2 linked regions of the Arabidopsis thaliana genome follow. The protein of the gene in region 1 interacts with the protein of each later gene in a pairwise test. Each region holds a gene or a part of one and is shown on either strand. Other genes may lie near its edges.

The links.
Region 2: the proteins of RING (region 1) and MYB108 interact in a two-hybrid assay, tested with the Arabidopsis thaliana proteins (one study listed by BioGRID).

The regions. Positions count from the first base shown.
Region 1 is NC_003075.7:10,712,909-10,716,801, forward strand, and holds RING (SBP (S-ribonuclease binding protein) family protein), read right to left. Parts: upstream 1,838-3,893; 5' UTR 1,728-1,837; coding exon 1,672-1,727; intron 1,584-1,671; coding exon 725-1,583; 3' UTR 502-724; downstream 1-501.
Region 2 is NC_003074.8:2,001,233-2,007,383, forward strand, and holds MYB108 (myb domain protein 108), read left to right. Parts: upstream 1-2,160; 5' UTR 2,161-2,264; intron 2,265-2,643; 5' UTR 2,644-3,065; coding exon 3,066-3,219; intron 3,220-3,959; coding exon 3,960-4,089; intron 4,090-4,438; coding exon 4,439-5,126; 3' UTR 5,127-5,495; downstream 5,496-6,151. UniProt on the Arabidopsis thaliana protein: Transcription factor contributing to the regulation of stamen maturation and male fertility in response to jasmonate signaling. Required for correct timing of anther dehiscence. Acts as a negative regulator of abscisic acid-induced cell death.

The sequences.
Region 1 (3,893 bases):
TATAGGATATAATTTTAAAAATCCATTTTAGTGGGGGTATTTTATTTTGTCTAGACATGCACTGCACATGACATGATCCGAATATGAAATATTTATTACACGACAACTATAATGACTATGAACTGAAAATGTCGTTGAGACAATCGAATTCAGACTATTTCTTTTTCTTTTATCATAATTTATTTTAGTTTCGATAGCGAAGTATGATTCTTCTGGTTGAATATAGTTGCGGGGTTGGAAAGATAAAGGATACTTCCAAATTGCAATAGTATATATCCATAGACCATTTTTATACCTTTTTCAATTTATATCGACGCTATGATAATCTTTAAAAGGTGGTAGATAATTCAAACTCATGTGATCGACTTTGAGAATAAGCAACCAAACAACGGTGCAACTTAAAAAGAACTCTGGAATATTTACTTTTCAAAACATTTTCGAATCACTTTAAATTCATTTATATGATTTATTCTTTCTTTTTTTCCCACACATAATGAGAGGAGGAGCCTTTAAATTCTCTTCGACAAATTATTTCGTCTTTCTTTTTTGCAATTTTCAGTCTTGGATTCCATTTAAGTCGTAAGAAAATCAAGAGTTAACCAAAAACTAATTTATATGTACTTACAAAAAGAAAAGAATCAATTTGCTATTTCTTTTGCGAATATAATCCTAAGGAAACAAAAAAAATATAAATTAAATTGTAACGAACAAAAAAAAAAGATGGTCAAGAAGACATGTTAACATGCACACTAGCGTTCATGACCATATCGCAAACCGGACAAGTCCGTAACAAAGCCGAACCACCACAAACCGTACACAAACACAAATGACGACATGGTAACACCAACACACTCGCTTCTCTCTCACCGCACCGTTTACAACCACCACCAACCGCCGTTACCGCTTCACCACCACCATCACCGCAACAACTTCCACAACTCGATTCCGCATCGTCTTCTACAACGGCTGAAGCGGTTGGAAACGTTTCGAGTTGAGCAAGAACTTGGTCTAGGTTTGTTCGAAGAGTATTAGCGTTTGCTTCGTTGGTTTGAGCGATATCACGCCAAATCTGATTTTCGACGTAAAGACTCTTCACCCTCTCTTGTAAAACCCAGTTTAGGTTTCGAATCCGTACGATTTCATCGTCTTTCTCTTTTAGTTTCTTGGCTATAACGTTTTGAACCGCAGACGCTAACATCCGCGTTTGCGTTTGTTGCCTTGCTTCAATCTCTATTCTTAGCTTCTCCGTTTGCTGAGCTACGAACCTATCGATCTCTGACTGTTGTTGGTTTTGAATCTGAGATACGAGTTCAACGTTTATCAACGACGGTGATGATGAGTCAAACGCTACGGACCTCCGTTTAACCGGAGCGTTTGAGTCTGAGAATTGAAAATCTCGCTGGCGTTTTGTAGACAGAGGAGGAACAGTGAAATTGTAACTGAGACCACTTTCTGCTTTGTTGAAGTTGGCTTTCGCAGCTAAAGGCTCAACGGCGAAAGATTCTCCGGTTATTAACGGAACTTCACCGCCGGTAAACTCAAACTCGCCGTGGTTCATGTTTTCTTGAAATTTAACACAATCTCTGCAAATAACAAAAATAAAAAAGATTAGAGGAAAATAAAAACAGAGGAAGTTTGTTTGTGAGAAGAATATAAAAATGAGATTTTTACCTGTTTGGTGATATAAACTGAGAGAAAATGTTCATGTGATGAGCTTGAACAGCCATTGTTGTTGAAAAAAGCTCCTAGAGATTCTGAAACAAAGAGAGAGAGAAGAGGGAGGAGTTGTGGCGACTGGTGAAGAAATCTATGGGATTGGCTTTTATTTAAGGGAGAGAAAAAAGTCAATATTTTTTTAATTTTCTATAAATACATATTTATTACTTTTACTATTTAAATATTTTAGATATTTAGAATAATTATGAATTCAAATTAGATATTGACTTTCATGGTATATTACCAATTGTGTTTAGTAATTAAAGTTTTTGTAAATTAAATGTTAGTAAAATACAGTTGATTTTTGTAAAAGGAAAAAGAAAAAGAAACAACCAATTTTATGAACTTAAAAGGAATATAATCTAGAGAAATATAAAATATACTAAGTTTTTATTCAACAATATATACTATCTTTCTTGAAGTTTGCAAATATTGGGACGTGTAAAAAGTTTTTTTTTTGTAATATTTCTTTCTTATTTATTGATGCACTCATGCATGTTTCCTTAGCAACATCCACATAAACATATGCAAGCTTGACTAGTCAAAGAGCCATTATAAAATCAATAAATTTTTTTTTGCTAATATGTTAATGATATTAGCATAAACTATTCGATTTTTTCTTTTGTTGAAAAAACTATTAGATTTTATGTTCTTGTCCATCCTTTTTTGTATTATTTCTAAAATTTAAAGATGCAAATCCTATAAAAAAAGGTGCAAAGCTGTTTTTTCCTTAAATGCATTTTTAAAAATGTGTAAAGCTGTCTTTCCTAATAAAATTTTTATGTTAGTTCACTGTATTCTCTTCTGTAAAAAGATTCCAAATTAACCTCTCTTTAGTCAACCCATATTTTTCTTATTAACTTTTCCTTATTTTGTGATTACTGTAATTAAATTTCATATCAAAAGATAGTATTAAATATGCATACTCTTCATTTCTTCAGTTTTATTTTATTTAAAATTTAAACCATTCCCATGATTTTAATTTTACAAACTATAAAGTTACTCTCGTAATTTTATTCAATGTGGCAAAGCTCCGCTTTATATCTGCCATGTCATCTTCCACCGTGGCATATTTGGGACTTGTGATTTACTTTTCTAAATTTTCCGTGAGCTATCTTAAGATCATGTAGCGGTGCATTGTATTAAACGAAATGGCACAAAACAATAATTTAACCATTGTAAATACATTTCTAAAGTTAATATGTTTCTTAATTTTGTTTTGTCGTAACTGGTTAAGTTGCACGTGAGAAGCGTGTGGGGCCATGATGTGAAGATTGAGGCCACGTCTAAGTGGGACCAAGAAAAACTTTCTGTTTCATTTCTTCGTGAAATTTTCAATAAATTAATAATTGTTTAGAAATAAATAAAAAAGATTTATTGTTTCGGTACCACCAATTTTGTTTGCTTCTTGAATTGTCGTCTGGTCGCTTTTTAATTTTTAATTAGTAATTTCCGTATTAAAGAAAAAAAAAAGGAAAGAGAAAATCGGAATCATTCGATAATGTTATATAGTACGGACAAGTAGGTCTTGTCATAAAAGTGTGATTTCCTCGGTGTGGGACAGGTCGACCACACCAAACGAATAGTCTTTTTCTTTTCCTTATTTTCGTTTTCATGCCTCTCTCTATTTTTTTTTATTGTTAATCGATTTTTTATCCACTAAACAAACATTATCATGATGCGTATCTAATGTTGTTCATACCAATTTTTACATAGTAACTTGAGCACAAAAGAGTTAATCGATTATTTTTGTTATAGTTATTGAAAAAACACATATATATTTATTAGGGCTAGACATAAGTACTCGTTACTCGTCTTATATTCGCTACTTGATTCGTATTCGCCTTGAAAAAACAAATGCTCGTTTTTAACAAGGCAAGTAACAAGTAGTATAATTTAGATACTTGCAAGTACAAATCAAGTAACAAGTAATGAAAAAAAACTAATACTCGACTCGTTTGACTCGATACTCGTCATTATTTTACCATTTTCTATACATATATTGTATTGTTTTAGTGTTAGACACATTTTAAAACTATATTAGAAGTAAAGTAAATTTTAAATAAGTAAAAAATATGATAAATAAAATAATAAGTAATTTTAAGTAATTCGAAAGTGTTACTTGCAAGTAATTTATTTGCAAGTAATTCGCAAGTAGCAAGTAATAACTCGTAAAT
Region 2 (6,151 bases), on another chromosome or scaffold:
TGCTTTGAGCGTGGGGTTATTTTAGAGAGTGGTCCAATATATTTAATAATGTCGATTAATTTCATAATTTGTGTATTAATTACGTTATACGTTTGTTGGAATAAGTCATGCTACAGTAGAAATAAAAGAAAAGTCATGATTCAAACATATAGAGACTCGTTAATCAATTTACACGATCAGATAAACAAATGATTGTAATAAATCTGATTTAGTGGTACAAATAGCAAACAATAAACGATAGTACTAGTTAAGATGATTAAAATGTAAAAACATACTAAGAAACAAATAGTTGTAGTATATTCTTTTGGTATTACATTTTTTTTTTGTTTTTTTGCAATTGATAACAGCAAAACAATAGTATATTTTTACTATTGTTATAAGCTTTTTACATACTAGTAATTAACCTAGCATTATCTAAATTGTGGACCATGGGATGTCATTTAAGATATGCTTTTGCTTGCAGTTCTTTCAGCATCTTTTTTGTTTGTTTTTGGTTTAAATGCTAAGCATCTATTAATTGTTTCCGATTGCATTTATGAATACAAGCTTACCAAGTTTATGACATTAATATTTTAGGAGAAATTTTATATTTCTTTAAAATTTTATTTTTTTGATGGTTTGTAATAGATAGTTTTGCGAATATATAGTTATATATATATATATATATATAATTAAAAAGATGGTTTTGAGAATGTTTTTTTGAAGCATTACAAATTTCCTAGCTAGGGTATATTCTAGATCATGAGTGCCGGCGAGTACATATATCTATGTATATAAATATAATGCATTATGTATGTATAATGTCAAATTTCTATTTAAATTTAAGTTTTTTGAGTAGTCATCCAATTGGAATCGTGCATGAAGGCTTGAGAGCTTTCAAGTATTTAAAGTGAGATTATACCAAAGTTCACTATTATATCTAAGTTACACAATATCAAGTTGTCTTTTTGATGTTTACAGACTTTGAAAAGAAAAAAAAATCGACAGGACGTATGATAATTGATACGTAGACATTTCCACTTTTGTCTTCTGATACTTGCACAACTTAAGCAAATTAATACTATCATATACACTGGATAAAAGAATCTCTGATTTTTAAAACTCTTCACCTCGCATAGTCGCATATCTAAGCTTCGGAACTCTATTTTTTTCTTAACAAGACACATATAATTAAGCTGAATGTTAAAGTGATATCTAACTAATTACTTAGAAGTTAGAACCTACCTGTGGCTAGTTTCACTAATTTGAAAAGAAACATATAATTCGGAGTTGTATTTAAATTCGTATACGATTCACGACTCAAAATCTAAAATTTGATGACGATAAAACAATAGGTGTCGTGCCTCTTGGGTGAAATAAATTCAGACTTTTATGGTCAAATAAGAACTGGAAGAAATAAGTGGAAAGTAGAAAAAAAAAAAAAAGGGGAATATATTTGTTATTGGCAACTTGTTTGAATAAATTAGAAACCCATAAAAGGAAATAAACATATTGATTATTATAGCACAAAGTTTTCAATAGAAATCAGAAAACGGAAACAGAGTTATTTTATGCACGGAGATGGAAAGTCAGCGGGTCAACTATTAAAACTCAGTGCTTAATTAAGTGGTAAGTGATAATTAACTCTTTACTAAATTATTCCTGCTGGAGTCCTTTAAGGCTTTAACTGATATTTTATCTGGACGGCATCTTTTTCTGCTTATAGACTTCTAGTATTAACTCTTCATCTGGTTCAGTTTTTAATTTTTAACCCTACAATTTTCAATAGACTATATTAATTCTTATTTATAGATTTTCAAATATTTTTGTATTTTTCTTAATTGGTTTAGGTTTAACTAAGACCTCTTTAATTCTTGATATAAAGAGTATTAACTAAAGACGAGAGTGTTTTTTTTTTTTTTTTTTTGCACCAAACCAAGTAACAAGAGGAAACTAAAAACTCTTTTGAAGCATGTCGATCCTAAATTAAGTTTTTTATTTAGTGCTCTTTTATCAACGTGACAGAATATTAACCACAATAACATCTAATTTTAGTATTTCTGTATATGATTTTTTTTTTTTTTTTTTTTTTTTTTTTTTTTTGAAAGTTACTACTCTCACCACATGGGAAAAAAATAGTTTTACCAAAATCTGAAATAACAAAACGAAGTAAGTACTAACAATACCACCGAAGATTTATTGCTGGTCGCGTTTTTTATTACTAAATTTGATGTTTTATGTTTACACTTTGACTGTTTGCCAACCAAAAAAAAAAAAAAAAAAATGTTTACACTTTGACTATATATTTATCATAACTCTAATTTTAATTTAAATATTTTGAAATTATTAATCATTATTATTTATTTGTAATTAGATATACGAAAATATTTTATACATTCATATCATATAGTCTTAACCTTCACGCACATAAAATTATAGTTTTTGTTTGTATGTGCGTATAGTTAAAAATGAAGTAGGCTCAAAACTATGATTTTTTTTATTTTTTTTAAATGTGAAATATTCCATTGATGAATTAAATTCATAATTTTGAAATTTATGTAATTATATGGATACGGAAGGCTATAATGAAATTTGAATGCAAAGACTCACTTCCCCTAAGAGAATAATAATTGTTCAGCCAAGTGGACTACTCGTATTCGATAGTTTTTTTTTCACCTTCACGAATTCTAAAACTTTGAAGAGCTTATAAACAGAATTTAAGAGTACAAAATTATAAAAAAAATTAAATCAATAAACATACAGTTCCTGCTGCCAAAAAATAAAAATAAAAAATAAACATACAGTTCCTATATTACGGCTGTCTATTCCCTTCATCGCACATGTTCCAAATAATTTTAAAAAATAAAAAGAAAAATTGAAAACTATCTTCTTTTTTCTTCTATAAAACCCACAACTTCTCTTTTTCTTGTGCATTCAAAACTCATCCTATCTCTATCTACACATAACTCCAAAAAACAAACAAATTTTCTCTCTCTATCTCTCTTCGCAAAACAACATAGAAAAAAAGTAGAAAGTCTCAATCTTTTTGCTGAACAATCTTGTTGTGGTCTCTTCTGTGTATATCAATGGATGAAAAAGGAAGAAGCTTGAAGAACAACAACATGGAAGACGAGATGGACCTAAAGAGAGGTCCGTGGACTGCTGAAGAAGATTTTAAGCTCATGAATTACATTGCTACTAATGGAGAAGGTCGCTGGAACTCTCTTTCTCGTTGCGCCGGTATGATATATATTTTCATATACAGATAATATAGTTGTATATATCTATTTTCCACTTCCATGAGCATCTTTTAAGCATAAAGAGCCAAAGAACAAGTCGCATAACATAATTGATTTATTGCTTTTTGTTCAATCCTTTTCATGTTTCAATCACCATGTGTGATTTGTGTTTTTTTTTTTCTTTTAAATTGCCCAACCTTTACTATTTTTAAAGATAGTTTTTAGAAAAAATTATTATTCGAAAATGGTTTCTTTCCCTATATGCATATATGAAAAGACCCTTCATAGGTATGAATCAAAAAGTGCATACCTCTCATGTTTTCTCTTTCTCGTCTTCTTCTTATTTCTAAATATAATTTCCTTCCAATAAATAAAGTATTGATGATTTGAGTGAGATCTTTTGGTAATGGATTCAATTATTAACCATCTCAAATTTGAATAAAATATCCAAATTTGGTTATTAAATGGGTGAAAAAAAGAAGAACTAATGCGAATTAATGATCATCATCTATAAGGGAAGAGCACTAACTCAATGGGAGAAAGCTTGCTGAAGAAAAAGACCCTTTAGGACAATTTGCATCATAATACGGTCCATTTTATTTCATTGGGGAATTTGATATAACTTTAACGAAAATGAAACAAATATTATAATGAGTTTCTTCCGTATAAAATCATCATACTATACGTAGACATGACCGACCGGTAAATTAATCCTCATATTATCTTTTACCAATGAAACAGGCCTCCAACGCACCGGTAAAAGCTGTAGACTAAGGTGGTTAAACTATCTCCGCCCTGACGTCCGCCGTGGAAACATTACACTTGAAGAACAACTCTTGATCCTCGAACTTCATTCCCGTTGGGGAAATAGGTATGCTAAATTAAAATAAATAAAACAGTATAACACCTTTTCCAACTAAATTATACAATATGTAGTTGATGAGTTTATTTAAATGAATTAAATCTGGTTTTACATAAAATTATGCATCAAACATATAATAAGATTTTTTTTGTGAATTGGAAATAAAATAACATCATAACTATTTTAAAATGGAGAAAATAACAAATTATGTCGATGTTGATGGATGAAAAGAGATTAAATGTATGATACTGAGATATACTAATGAATAATAATGTTATAGACGCCAAGAAAATAAGAATTTGATTATCACTACTATTAGTTTAGAACCGTTAATTTATATCTTGTTATTTTGATGTAGATGGTCAAAAATCGCACAATATTTACCGGGAAGAACGGACAACGAGATCAAGAACTACTGGAGGACGCGGGTGCAAAAGCATGCGAAACAGTTGAAATGTGATGTGAATAGCCAACAATTCAAAGACACAATGAAGTACTTGTGGATGCCTCGACTAGTCGAGAGGATTCAGTCAGCCTCGGCCTCATCCGCAGCAGCAGCCACCACCACAACCACCACCACCACAGGATCAGCCGGCACGTCATCTTGCATCACAACCTCTAACAATCAATTCATGAATTACGACTACAACAACAACAACATGGGACAACAGTTTGGTGTAATGAGCAACAATGATTATATCACGCCTGAAAATTCCAGCGTGGCAGTGTCTCCGGCGTCAGACTTAACGGAGTACTACAGCGCTCCAAACCCTAACCCGGAATACTATTCGGGTCAAATGGGGAATAGTTATTATCCAGATCAGAATTTAGTGAGTTCACAATTATTACCGGATAATTATTTCGACTATAGTGGATTATTAGACGAAGATCTAACGGCTATGCAAGAGCAGAGTAACCTCAGCTGGTTTGAAAACATTAATGGTGCTGCTTCTTCTTCAGACAGTTTATGGAACATTGGAGAAACTGATGAAGAATTCTGGTTCTTACAGCAGCAACAACAGTTCAACAATAATGGTAGCTTCTGAAGTTAGAAAAAAAAAATAGAAATCGTTTTAAGTTAAATTATACACTATAGTATACGTGTGAAAGGAATTTGTTGTAAGGGAATAATTAAAAACAAAGAATTGTTCATAGGATATATGATCAGGTTTTTTATACCAAGCTTGATCATATATCATGGCGTTTTAACAAAGCGCTAAACTTGATTGGTTTTGTTTTTTGGGGGGGATTGCAATGATATTTTGTGGATAATTGATAAACTTGGATGAAATAATTTATGATTTAATGTTTGGAAAATAACTCATTCGTCGGTGGGACTATGTATACTATAAACATAAATAATGGAAATTGTATTCACACTATAGATTGAGTGATTTCCTCAATGGAAGCATAATATAAAACATTATTCATTTATTTATTATATTCGAACGACGAAGCTCATAATTGGTTCCACCATGTTTAATATTTAACCCAATATATGACACAAACAAACAGAACAAGACATCGTAAAATATTTTTTTAAAGATAGTATAATAATGACTTTGGTACTATAAAATGGATAATCCAAGTGATACTACTTTTTTGGAACTATGTCTATAGAGCATGTATATGGAAAATAAAATGAACTAGTGTGTGGTGTGTGAGTACTGACTGAGTGTGAAAGCCTTTCTTTGGGTTCAAAAGAAGACATTTAGAAATTGATTGTTATATTCCAGAGCCACGTGGCAAAATCTGGTTGGTTCTGATCTGGGCTTTGAGTTTAAGGTGGCCATTAAGGGGTTTATTCATTGAAAAGTTAATTGTTTGTTAAAATACATGCTAAGTGATGATAACCCACCACTAAATATGTCCAAAAAACCCTTAGTTAATTATTGAAAACGCATTATTGTACGGACCGTTACACCAATATGTAGACAAAAACCGTGTCCTTACTCGGCAACACGTCGGCAACACCATGTCTTCTATGTATCCTCCTCTGTTCTCACTCAGTTTTATTAAAAACTCAGTTTAGAAATAAAACGAGGACCCCCAATGTGGGTGGCATGGCATG